Canis lupus familiaris: one gene and its partners. The protein of the gene in region 2 interacts with the protein of the main gene of each other region in a pairwise test. Links are inferred from orthologs where the notes say so. Each region holds a gene or a part of one and is shown on either strand. Other genes may lie near its edges. The genes, in order: EIF4A2, PDCD4 and EIF4A3.

Region 1 (3,747 bases), on a different chromosome or scaffold from region 2:
GCTTAAAATGCAGACTGATCTGTTTCATGACAAAAGTCCCTTAACGTGTCTTCCTTGTGCCTTGTCAAACTTGGGATCCTGTTACCCCAGATACCACCTAAGTTAATTAAATGATTTTAGTTACATCATTTCCTACATTGCTTTTCATTGTGTAGGAAGGTGTAAATAATGGAACAAACTCTGTAAGTAAGCACATCTAGGGACAACTTGTTGGTAACTTTAGTCTTTCCCAAAGTACTGGAGCTTACGTCCTTTCGACCTTAATAAAACCTAGTTTTATTAGCAAGGTCTTACTTCAAAGCCAATATAGCAGTGAGCTTTGAAAACATAGCATGCAACAGATGCATCACAAACTACTGAGACAGTCAAATAACATGTCACTGCAGTTTTCATGTTGCACAACTGCATTCAAACTTAAAAATGGGAACAGATGTAGTCCACCCTGAAAACACTTTGGTTTCTCAAATCTGTTACACAACCCTGCAAACCATACCTGCACACCCAGTTCCTATTTTTAACTCAACAAAAACTCCCTGCATGCATGGACAATTAGGAGGGCTCCTATCGATAGGACCAATTTATACTAAGTTTTAAATTCTTCACAGTTGTGAAACCTGAAACCTATGCAACACGCAAGCAGTTTTTTTGAACTACACTATCAATACCTGTTGAGCCAGTTCTCTGGTGGGGGCCAATACTAGTGCTTGGGTCTCCTTGAACTCAATCTCCAACTGTTGCAGGATGGAAATAGCAAATGTGGCTGTCTTGCCAGTACCTGACTGAGCTTGAGCAATCACATCATACCCTAAAAAAAGTAGGATACATATTTACCGATCCCACATCAAACCGCCACTTCTAGTTCACACCATGTATTCCGTTTGGAACATTAATTATGCCCAAATAATCAAGTGATCAGCAATGAGTATTCTCTTCATTTCAGGTCAGTCCCGAAAGATGATTGCCATCATTTCACTTTAAGGAATACAAACAGGTGCTATTCCCCCAGAAGTTACTTTCCCTTTTATGGTCCAGGTCAGTTATGTAGAACAGTTAATGCATGTTTCAAAAAGGGCTAGCTAGCTCGTTTACCTTTAATACAAGGAATAATAGCTCTCTGTTGAATAGCTGAAGGCTTCTCAAAACCGTAAGCATAGATGCCCCGAAGAAGAGACTCCTTTAAATTCATATCGTCAAAGTTATCAACAATCTCATTCCAGTTGCTCTGTAAATCACACACAAAAGGACGCCTGAGTAAGTCGGATGAACACCTCACCTTGCCCACGTTCCAGAATCCAACACAGAGGTCTTACCTCGATGACACCATCGGGGTCCATTCCCTCTGGGCCTCCATGTTCTCTGCCGACAAGAACACCGCAGTTAGAGAACGTCCCTCTCCCCAGCCCTCTTACCTGCACGGCCCGGGGACGGCCTAGGCTAGGCCGGCCACTCTCCCCACACGTGCGCACCACCCGCGCCTGCAGTCCGGGGAGCCGGCGGCGCAGCGCCCGTCACGTTCCGTGCGCGCCCGCCCCAAGGCCGACCACAGGGGACGCCCAGGAAAGGCCCACGGCCGCCGGCCCTTCCCCCAGCCCGAGCGCCAGGCGCTCCCGTCTCGGCGCCAGCCGGTCTCGCGAGAGCTCCACGCGCTGAGCTCCGCCCCTCACACTGCGCAAGCCGCGGTGATTGACGCGGGCCGCGGCCCGGCGAGAGCGGTGCCAACGGTTCGCGGGGACCCGGTTGCCGGCGCGGCCCCATCCGCCCGCAAGGCCGCGGCCGGCGAGCGGGCGGGCGCCGCCGTCCCCTCCCCCCGCCCAAAGCCGAGCCTGCAACTCGCGCCTTCCGCCGCCGGTAGAGCTCCCCCCCCGCTACACGGTGTCGACTGCGGACTGCGCCACCGCTCAACTAAAACGTGCGCCGGCGGGCGGGGGACGCGCCCGGGATGCCAGGGCGTCTTCGGGAGGGGACGGGGGGAAAAAAAAGCCCCTCCAACCAGTCCGTTTTTGTACCCTCGTCTCCCCGCAGGCCAGGCCCTACCCATCATGGAAGCTTCTCGAAGGGCAGAGAGGCGCTGAGCCTCCAGGAAACGCCCGCGAACCCGCAGCCCCCAGGCTGCTCGCCGACCGCCAGCACCTCCGCCGGCGTCGCACGACCCGCCACGACCCGCCGCGACCCCCGGCCCCGCGGCAGCGCCGTACCTGTTATAGTCCGCGGAGCCACCAGACATGATCCGAAGAGCCACTCAGCGCCCGACTGGAAAGACAGCGGCGCCGCGCCACCCGTTTTTTATAGGCTCGCGGCCGGAACCCGTTTTCTCGCGGAGGAATTTTCTCGTCGCTCTCCGGTCGCCCACCAAATTGTGATCCTGGGGTCCTTACCTCGGAGAATAGCCCAAGCAAGTGGGTGGGAAAACCCAAATTTGGTTATTTCTCGATATTACGGGGCCGCGGGACATGCCGGGGCCTTGGGGGCGGCTGGGACTCTTTGCCTCGCGGCGGAAGAATATTGCAGCAAGCGGTGGCCAAACCGCGCTCCCGGCCCGCCCCGCTCCTACGGGGTTTCCGCGGCCCCGAAGCAGAGGCGGCCGGGGGAGCGAGCGGCCGGGAGGCGGAAGCCCGGGGCGGCTGCGTGCGCGGCGGCCGGCCTCTCCCCGCGGGCGGCGGGGCGAGCTTGCGGTCCGGCGCCCGGGGGTGGGGGCGGCGGCGGCGGCGGGGACGGGGACGGGGGCGCGGCCTCGCGCTGCACGGGGGCACCTGGGGCTGCCCCGCCGGCTCCCCCCGCGGCTTAATTCTCCGGGGAAGAGCCGCCTGGCCTTCGGCGGGGCGCTTAACACCCATCCAGAGCCTAAAAGTGTGAAAACTTCCTGCTCGGGAAAATGTCGGCCTCCGAGCAGGTCCCCGAAGCCCGGTGCCCCCGGCGCACCGCAGGGCACTGTGCCAAGCGAGGCAAAAGCGTGCAGTGCCCTTTGCAGGGGTCCCCGCGGCAGCCGACGCTGCTCTCAGGTTGCCCCCGGTCTCCTCTCGCTCGCTCGCTCTTAAAAAATAACGCTGACCGCCCTAACGCGTGGGGAATGAATGCCCGACAAAATCATCCTGAACTTTTGCAAATGGTTAACAGCTAAGGACTGGTTTTCCTTACAACGTAGGAATTTAAATGGACGCTTCCGGCAGATAGAGCTCCGTGCCCCCTTTGGGACTAGATAGATTTTTTTTTTTTTTTTGATTCGGGTCTATGTTGCTCTTTTCTTTTTTCCCCCAAAAGGCTTTGAACTTTAATTGCTTCATACCGAATGCATGTTGATTTAGTGGAAATTGAGAGCGATACAACCCCTGCTGCTTAAATAAACTGCACGATTCTTGAAGCCGCGGAGGTTTCCGACTGTAGCCCTGACCCAGGCCTGGGGTAGGCCCAATGCATTTAGTCATTTCATTTTAAAAATACTACCCACACTGCGAGATATCATCAGGGAAACATTTTTCTCGTTAATTCAGAAGGCCACCGAAGATCTGCTACCTGGAAAAACTGACATAATTTTCTACGTCTGCGTATGATGGTTGATTCTAAATACATTGCTTTCAAAAAAAAAAATTATTGTGCCAAGAACTCTGAGAAAAACTAATACCGAGATGACAAAGTAGGCGTAGGTCTCAGTTTAGGGATGCTGCTCCTAATTAATCCCCCTGTAATAATGTTCAAATTCAGATTTGAGATAATGCGGGATATGTTCTGCAAATGGAGGTCAAAGATCTT
Region 2 (3,647 bases):
CCTGGGATGGAGTCCCACATCAGGCTCCTACAGGGAGCCTACTTCTCCCTCTGCCTATATCTCTGTTTCTCTGTCTCTCATGAATAAAAAAATAAAATCTTAAAAAATAAACAAACAAACAGGGATACTTCTCCTTTCTGGAAAACTCTTCAACCATCTTACCCTGGCAAACTTCTAATCACTCTTATGTAGCTCAGAATCATCTCAATTTTATGCTTCCATAACACTGCGCTTATAGTACTACTCAGTTAATAAGTATACATAGTATACCACTAGTCCTATGCTAGGTAGATAGAATTTCATTTTTTTTTTAAGATTTTTTATTTATTTATTCATGAGGGACAGAGAGAGAGAGAGAGAGAGAGAGAGAGAGAGAGAGAGAGAGGCAGAGACACAGGCAGAGGGAGAAGCAGGCTCCATGCAGGGAGCCTGATGTGGGACTTGATCCCAGGTCTCCAGGATCATGCCCTGGGCCAAAGGCAGATGCTCAACTGCTGAGCCATTGGGGCTGCCCTAGATAGGATTTCAATGGTCTGCCCCTATAATACTTAAACTCCACCTCTACTACAGAAGGCTTTACATTTTATTTTAATAATCTGTTTATAATATCATTTCTCCTCACTTGGCCAAGCTTCAGAAGGGCAAGAAAAACCTATTACAAATTCCTTCACATGGTATGTACTGAATGAATATTTGTTTTACGAGCGCCTGGGTGGCTCAGTCTGTTAAGCATCTGCCTTCTGCTCAGGTCATGATCCCAGGGTCCTGAGATTGAGCCACACGTCAGGCTCCCTGCTCAGTAGAGAGCCTGCTTCTCCCTCTCTCTCTCTGCTACTCCCCTGCTTGTGCTCTCTCTCTCTCTGTCAAATAAATAAAATCTTTGAAAAACCCAACAAATATTCATGTTCAAATCCTACAAATCTAAGGATATCAGATCTCATGGTATCAGACAAACTAAGAAAGCCCAGTATGAAATATAAGAGTCTAAATTATAAAAGCCTTCATGGGATCCCTGGATGGCACAGCAGTTTGGCGCCTGCCTTTGGCGCCAGGTGATCCTGGAGACCTGGGATCAAGTCCAGGTGATCAAGTCCAGGATCAAGACCTGGGATCACCTCCAGGTGATCCTGGAGACCTGGGATCAAGTCCCACGTCTGGCTCCCTGCATGGAGCCTGTGTCTCTGCCTCTCTCTCCGTGTCGATCATAAATAAATAAATTTAAAAAAAAATCATAAAAGCCTTCAAAGAATTGCAATTTGAAAAAAAAGGGGGGAAGGCCTGGGTGGCTCAGTGGTTGAGCATCTGCCTTTGGCTCAGGGCATGATCCTGGGGTCCTGGGATTGAGTCCCACATCAGGCTCCCTGCAGGGAGCCTGCTTCTCCCTCCACCGATGATGTCTCTGCCTCTCTCTCTGTCACTCTCATGAATAAATAAATAAAATCTTAAAAAAAAAAAAAGTTGCCATTTTAGTACTTCAAGTCTGTAATCCTAGTTAGGTAGCTTTATTTTACCTTTTTAGATATACTTTATGAACAATTCATAACACAGGAAATATTCCCGTGCAAATTATGTTTCTTTTTTTTTTTAAGATTTTATTAATGTATTCATGAGAGACACAGGGAGAAGCAGAGACATAGGCAAAGGGAGAAGCAGGCTCCCTGCAGGAAGTCCAATGTGGGACTTGATCCTGGAGTTCCGGAGGCAAAGGCAGACGCTCAACTGCTGAGCCACCCAGGCATCCTACAAATTATGTTTCAAAAATACACTTTTTCTCTTGGTTTCTGCATATATTCTTTTTCAAATCTTTGTATCTATGTTCTCTTTCTTTTGGATAGACTACAAAGATAAATTTTATCTTAATCCTGAGCATTTAAATGAATGTCAAAAAAAAAATAGAACTAAATCAGTCATTTTTAACTGAGATCCTTAAAGAGATTTAAGAAGGTCTATAGATGCTAGAAATTATTAGTATTATTTTATACACTATAAATTATAAAAATATATAACTACAATAATTGTTAAAATATTACTGTGCTGTTTTTCAGGGGAAAAAATGGCATATAGCCCTCATCACATGCCAAAAAAGAAAGAGCTAATCTATATTAAAGAAATTTTACTCCACTTCTTAGAAATTCATTTATGCAAAAGAAAATGCTTAAACTTGGGACGCCTGGGTGGCTCAGCGGTTGAGCATCTGCCTTCGGATCAGGGCATGATTCCAGAGTTCCGGGATCGAGTCTCACATCAGGCTCCCCGCAGGGAGCTTGCTTCTCCCTCTGCCTGTGTCTCTGCTACTCTCTGTGTCTCTCATGAATAAATGAAACCTTTAAAAAAAATACTTATTCTGTGATTCAAGATCATTTTGGATATGATGTTTTTCTTTTAACAGTGTTTTCTTTACTATATTAAATAAATCATACTTCCAATTTTAAACCTACCGCAACTTCATTAGTATCTCCATGCTCAAAATATTCCTGTATGATTGGTGTTAAAGTCTTCTCAAATGCTGTTTCATCCAAAGGCAAAACTACAGTTTCATAAACACAGTTCTCCTGGGAGGGAAAGAGTTATAAATTAATGGACGTAACGATTCAGACAATATTAGAATATTTAGCAAAGATTCTATGGTATTTGAGTCCTACATTTTTTCATGTTCTCTTAGAAATATTTCCATGTTCAACAATTAGCTAAAATAGTTATACAAACAATATGGAATAAAAACAATATAATTTCCGGTCTGTAATTCTCATCACCTTGTGTTATTTTCATGCAAAGACAGTACTTCAAAACAGATGTCATGATGTCTGGGATTTGTTTCAAAATAATCCAGAGCCTGGGGTGCGGAATGCATGCAGGGGGATACAAGAGGAAAAATATATGGAGGTACAGGATAAAACAAGATTAACCATGAGTTATTAATTATTGAAGTTGGTAAAGCTGGGAGATGAGTACAAGCATTTTCGTTATACTATTCTACTTATTGTCTAAGTTAGAAATTTTCCATTAAAAATATATATGTTCATTATAAAATCTGTTAAAAATTTACACCCTCTTGGATCTAAGTGAAATAAGCTAAGTGAAATAAGGCTAAGACAAATACCATATGATTTCACTCGTATGTGGAATCAAAAGCAAGTAAACAAAAAAAGAATCAGACTTGTAAACCCAGAGAACAAACTGACAGTTGCCAGAGGGGAGGGGCCTCCAGCTATGGAAGGAGCAAGTTATGGGAATAAAAGGTACAGCATAAGGAAGAAAAAACAAAATTTACATTCTCAACACTGAAAAAAAGATAGTAGAAAAAAGATAATCCCAAATAAAATTTACCACAGAGTTACCATCCTAAACAGTAATATTTTAAAAGAAACCTCATATCTATAAATCTTATGATGTTCAAAAGAATATACATTCTTCCCAGTTATCATTACTAAAGAAACTCTGTTGTATTACCTCAACAGAATTTATCGAAAAACAGTCAACTTGGGGCACCTGGGTGGTTCAGTTGGTTAAATGTCTGGTTCAGCTTTGGCCATGACCCCAGGGGCCTGGGACTGAACCTTGATCAGGCTCCCTGCTCAACAGAGAATGTGCTTCTCCCTCTGTCCCTCCCCCCACTCATACCCATTCTCCCCCCACTCCAGCTCCCA
Region 3 (3,747 bases), on a different chromosome or scaffold from region 2:
CTAAACCATTCTGCATGCCAGCTGCTAGGTAAGTGAAGCTGGCTAAGAATATGACAGCTTTCTAAAGGACACAAAAACAAAAAACAAGACACCGTGGCTCAAGCTGAGGAAAGGGCTACTGACACATATGTGGAAAGGGAGAACAGGGGTCCCCTCAAAGCGCTGTACTCAGCTGACAAGCACCTAACCCCATTCTCTACCGGTGACGTACTGAGCAATGACGTCTCTCCCTTTAATTATCTGCTTGATGGCTCGCTGCTGGATGGCTGATGGTTTCTCAAAACCTGTAAAAAGAAAGCGAAAGTTCTAACATGAGGACACTGGCAGCTCCTTGGGACACAGATGGTATCTTTTTTTAAGCCCCCACGTCCACCCCTCTTAGCGCAAAGTCCAACACACCAAAGCTCAAGAAACAGCTGCTGAATGAATTGGGTTGAACTGTATTTTTACACTAACACAGATCTTATGTGCACAGACAAAATCTCTATAAAAGGAACATTGCAGAACGCAGAGACCCCAGTTAGATTACAAAACAAAAAACAAAAAAACACCCAAATGTTAATGGTGGTGCTCCTGAGAATGGATGGGAAAGGCTCATCTTTTACTTCAATTCCTCCTGCACTGCGTACGTTACGATAGCCTGCGCTGCTCTTTTAACATTTCCATTACTTTTTATGCTACAAGAAAGAAAAATGAATCCAGTGGCACCGTGGCCGCCCCCTCTTTCCTCTCTGCATCAGCTCTACACGCTGTCTGTGCTGTCTGCCACAGCAATGACTCTACGGCTCGGGCCGTTCCGCGGAGTGCCCGCTGCGCTCCTTCCACTTGTGATGCAGCTTCACCAGCTACGACATCACTCTAGAACGAGGCTACTTGGAGAGGGTAAAAAAAACATTTCCCAAGTAAACAAAAGCTCACGTGCATAAAATATATCTTAGTTACTCTTCGGTAGCCTTTTAAAACTCAGCCCGGACTTCCCGTCTAAAGTTAAAACTGTAACACGGATGATTTAAAAAACCCTCACAGCGACCATCCAAGCAAGCACACAGGCGGGGAAACTAAAAACAGTGTTTTGGGCAGGGCTGCCGGGGAGGCTGAGAGGTGGGTAGGACCATCAGCCTCACCTCCGCTTTGTCACCTCCCATCCCCTCTCTGCTTTACACCTGGTAACTAACACCAGGGACTGTTGGGTAAAGGGAGTTCCAGGCCCAGGCGTCAGCACAGAGGCTGATCGCCCCGGTCTGGACCCCCAACACGGTCTCTCCCCAGGCTCCCGGCACCTGCAGCCGGGTGGCTCACAGGCCCCTGAGACTCCCCTGCCTCCGAGGGCTCCCCACATGAGCAATCGCCAGCAGCACCCACCGGCTGCTCACAACGCCCGGGGAATCCTCAACCCCTCCCCGGCTCAACGTCATCACCTCCCCTGCCTCACCTCTCATGCCCCTTCTAGCGCACGGACTCAGAGGGTGCAGACCCCAGCGTTGCCACTCCCCTTGCTTCAAACCCCATGGCTTCCCTCTGCACTTAGGAACAAAATGCGAGCTGTTCTTCAGCTCACAGAGCGCTGGGCGAGATCCGGCCCTGCCTGCCGCTCCCGAGTAGCCCCTGGGCTCCCACCACGGAGCGCTTCCTCCTGGCCCTGGAGAGCACCCCGCTCCGTGCTGCGGGCTACTGGCACCGGCTGCTCCGTCGTGCCAGGGGCTCCTCGGGGCAGACCCGGGCTCACAGGTCAACCCCCCGGGAGCCCCCACCCGCCCCCTCGCAGCCATCACCAGCGCCCGAAGCATCCCGGCTCCCCGAAGTACCCGGAGCTCCCTCGGGGCCCAGGCAGCGCGGGCCCGGCCCCTGCCCGTCATCCGCGGCGGCAGCGCCCCCCAAGCGCCCGGGGACGACCCGCCGAACCCCCGACACCCACGCAGGCCGAGCGCAGGGTGCCCGGCGGGGGTCGCCCTCCACCCCGGGCCGCGCCCTCGCCCTCCCCGCCCGCGCCCCGCGGCCCCCGACCGTAGGCGTAGATGCCGCGCAGCAGGTCCTCCCGCAGGCCCATGGTGTCGAACGTGGGCGTCACGTCCACCTCCTCGCTGGTCTCGAACTCCACTTTGGTCATGTCTTCCTCTTTGAGCAGCCGCTTCCGCGCCGAGCCCGAGGTCGCCATCGTGGCCACGGCCGCCATGATCCCGCGTCGGCTGAGAGCGGAGCGCGCGCCGCGGAGGAAAGCGGAAGCAGGGCCCCGCGCCGCCGGCGCCAGGAACTGACGTCACCGCGCGCGTGCGCACGAGCGTGCGTCGGGACCCTGAGCCGCTCTCCGCGTGAGAGGGGCGGGGGCTGCTACTGCTCTCGCGAGGTCTAAGCTGCCGCGGGATCTCGCTAGGGGCGGGGCTCCGCCCAGGCCCTATAAATACGGCCGAAGCGGCGGGGATCGCGTATTGCGCGGGTTGTCTGCAACGGGGCTGGTGGCCCAGGGGAGCTCCGCGGAGCCCACAGCCCCTCCGCACCCTCCTCCCGCCGAGGCCTGAGGCCCGAGGCCCGGGCAGAGGGCGCCCGCTCGCCGCGACAGGTGCAGCGCGAACTTGCAAAGCGTCGCTGCTGCGCTGCACCTGCAGCTCCCGGGCTCCTGCGCGCTGCAGGGGAGCCCGCGCTGCTGACCTCGGGGCGCGGGAGCCAGTCTCGCGTCTGAGCCCAGACGTCCCCGAGAGCCCCTCCTGGACCAGCGTCACCCCCTGACCTGGCTCCGACCTGCGCCGCTGCAGGCGGGGAGTCGCGCGCGCCCCTTCCCTTGGTGAGGACTTCACTCCCTGTCTCACCGTTGGCGTGGCTCCCATCACTGGGCCTTTCATCCTCGGCGTCCTTCCGGGGCTGTTTGAGTGCTCCTCTGTTGTGAAGGTGCATTTACTTAAAAGTGGATAATTGGGACGCCTGGTGGCTCAGCAGCTGAACGGCTGCTCTTGGCTCAGGTCGTGACCTCGGGGTCCTGCAACCCTGCATCAGGTTGCGCACAGGGAGCCTGCTTCTCCTGCTGCCTGTGTCTCTGCCTCTCTCTCTGTGTCTCTCATGAATAAATAAATAAAATCTTTAATGAAAAAAAGCGGATAATCGTTTCATCCACTAAACCAGACATGCGTAGAGTTCAGTGGGTTACAATTCATTGGCAGGGAACAAGTAAACGAGGGCTACCTGCCTGCAGAAGCTCTGGCCTTAAGGGCCCAACATATTCAATCCCTATGGGATGGTTCATCTGATGAACACACCTGAAGAGAATGCTGGTGTTAGTCGAATTTAAATATTTCTAAACCTGACTTTCTTAGACTCTAAAATAAAACGTGAGTTGTTACATCTTCTTACTCCATGAAGCATCATCCCAAAGCCCTCGGGATGCCCTCTCTGAGGTTGCACACAGTTTTGGCAAGCTGTGGTCTAGGGCTGGGTTGTAAAGTACACGTGGGTTTCAGGGTGAAAGTATGTAAAATACCTGGTGAATGACCTTTATGTTGTCTGTAGACTGAAATGACAATATTTTACATATACTGAGTCACATAAAATATGTGATTTCAGTTCATTGCACCTATGTTTAAAATACGGCTACCAGGGCAGCCCCAGTGGCACAGCAGTTTAGCACCGCCTGGGCCCGGGGCGTGATCCTGGAGACCCGGGATCGAGTTCCACGTCAGGCTCCCTGCGTGGAGCCCGCTTCTCCCTCTGCCTGTGTCTCTGCCTCTCTCTCTCTCTTTCTCTGTGTCTCTCTGATAA

What was found.
Region 1: the proteins of PDCD4 (region 2) and EIF4A2 interact in binary tests that used the Homo sapiens proteins (3 or more experiments, as listed by UniProt). The two-hybrid records come from large-scale screens. The link is inferred for Canis lupus familiaris from reciprocal best matches to the Homo sapiens genes PDCD4 and EIF4A2.
Region 3: the proteins of PDCD4 (region 2) and EIF4A3 interact in binary tests that used the Homo sapiens proteins (3 or more experiments, as listed by UniProt). The two-hybrid records come from large-scale screens. The link is inferred for Canis lupus familiaris from reciprocal best matches to the Homo sapiens genes PDCD4 and EIF4A3.

The regions. Positions count from the first base shown.
Region 1 is NC_049255.1:19,523,899-19,527,645, reverse strand, and holds the start of EIF4A2 (eukaryotic initiation factor 4A-II), read right to left. Parts: upstream 2,312-3,747; 5' UTR 2,225-2,311; coding exon 2,196-2,224; intron 1,357-2,195; coding exon 1,311-1,356; intron 1,223-1,310; coding exon 1,090-1,222; intron 976-1,089; exon of another isoform or gene 907-975; intron 806-906; coding exon 666-805; intron 1-665. UniProt on the Homo sapiens protein: ATP-dependent RNA helicase which is a subunit of the eIF4F complex involved in cap recognition and is required for mRNA binding to ribosome.
Region 2 is NC_049249.1:22,436,651-22,440,297, reverse strand, and holds part of PDCD4 (programmed cell death protein 4), read right to left. Parts: intron 2,553-3,647; coding exon 2,439-2,552; intron 1-2,438. UniProt on the Homo sapiens protein: Inhibits translation initiation and cap-dependent translation. May excert its function by hindering the interaction between EIF4A1 and EIF4G. Inhibits the helicase activity of EIF4A. Modulates the activation of JUN kinase.
Region 3 is NC_049230.1:2,443,873-2,447,619, reverse strand, and holds the start of EIF4A3 (eukaryotic initiation factor 4A-III), read right to left. Parts: upstream 2,233-3,747; 5' UTR 2,174-2,232; coding exon 2,005-2,173; intron 285-2,004; coding exon 212-284; intron 1-211. UniProt on the Homo sapiens protein: ATP-dependent RNA helicase. Involved in pre-mRNA splicing as component of the spliceosome. Core component of the splicing-dependent multiprotein exon junction complex (EJC) deposited at splice junctions on mRNAs.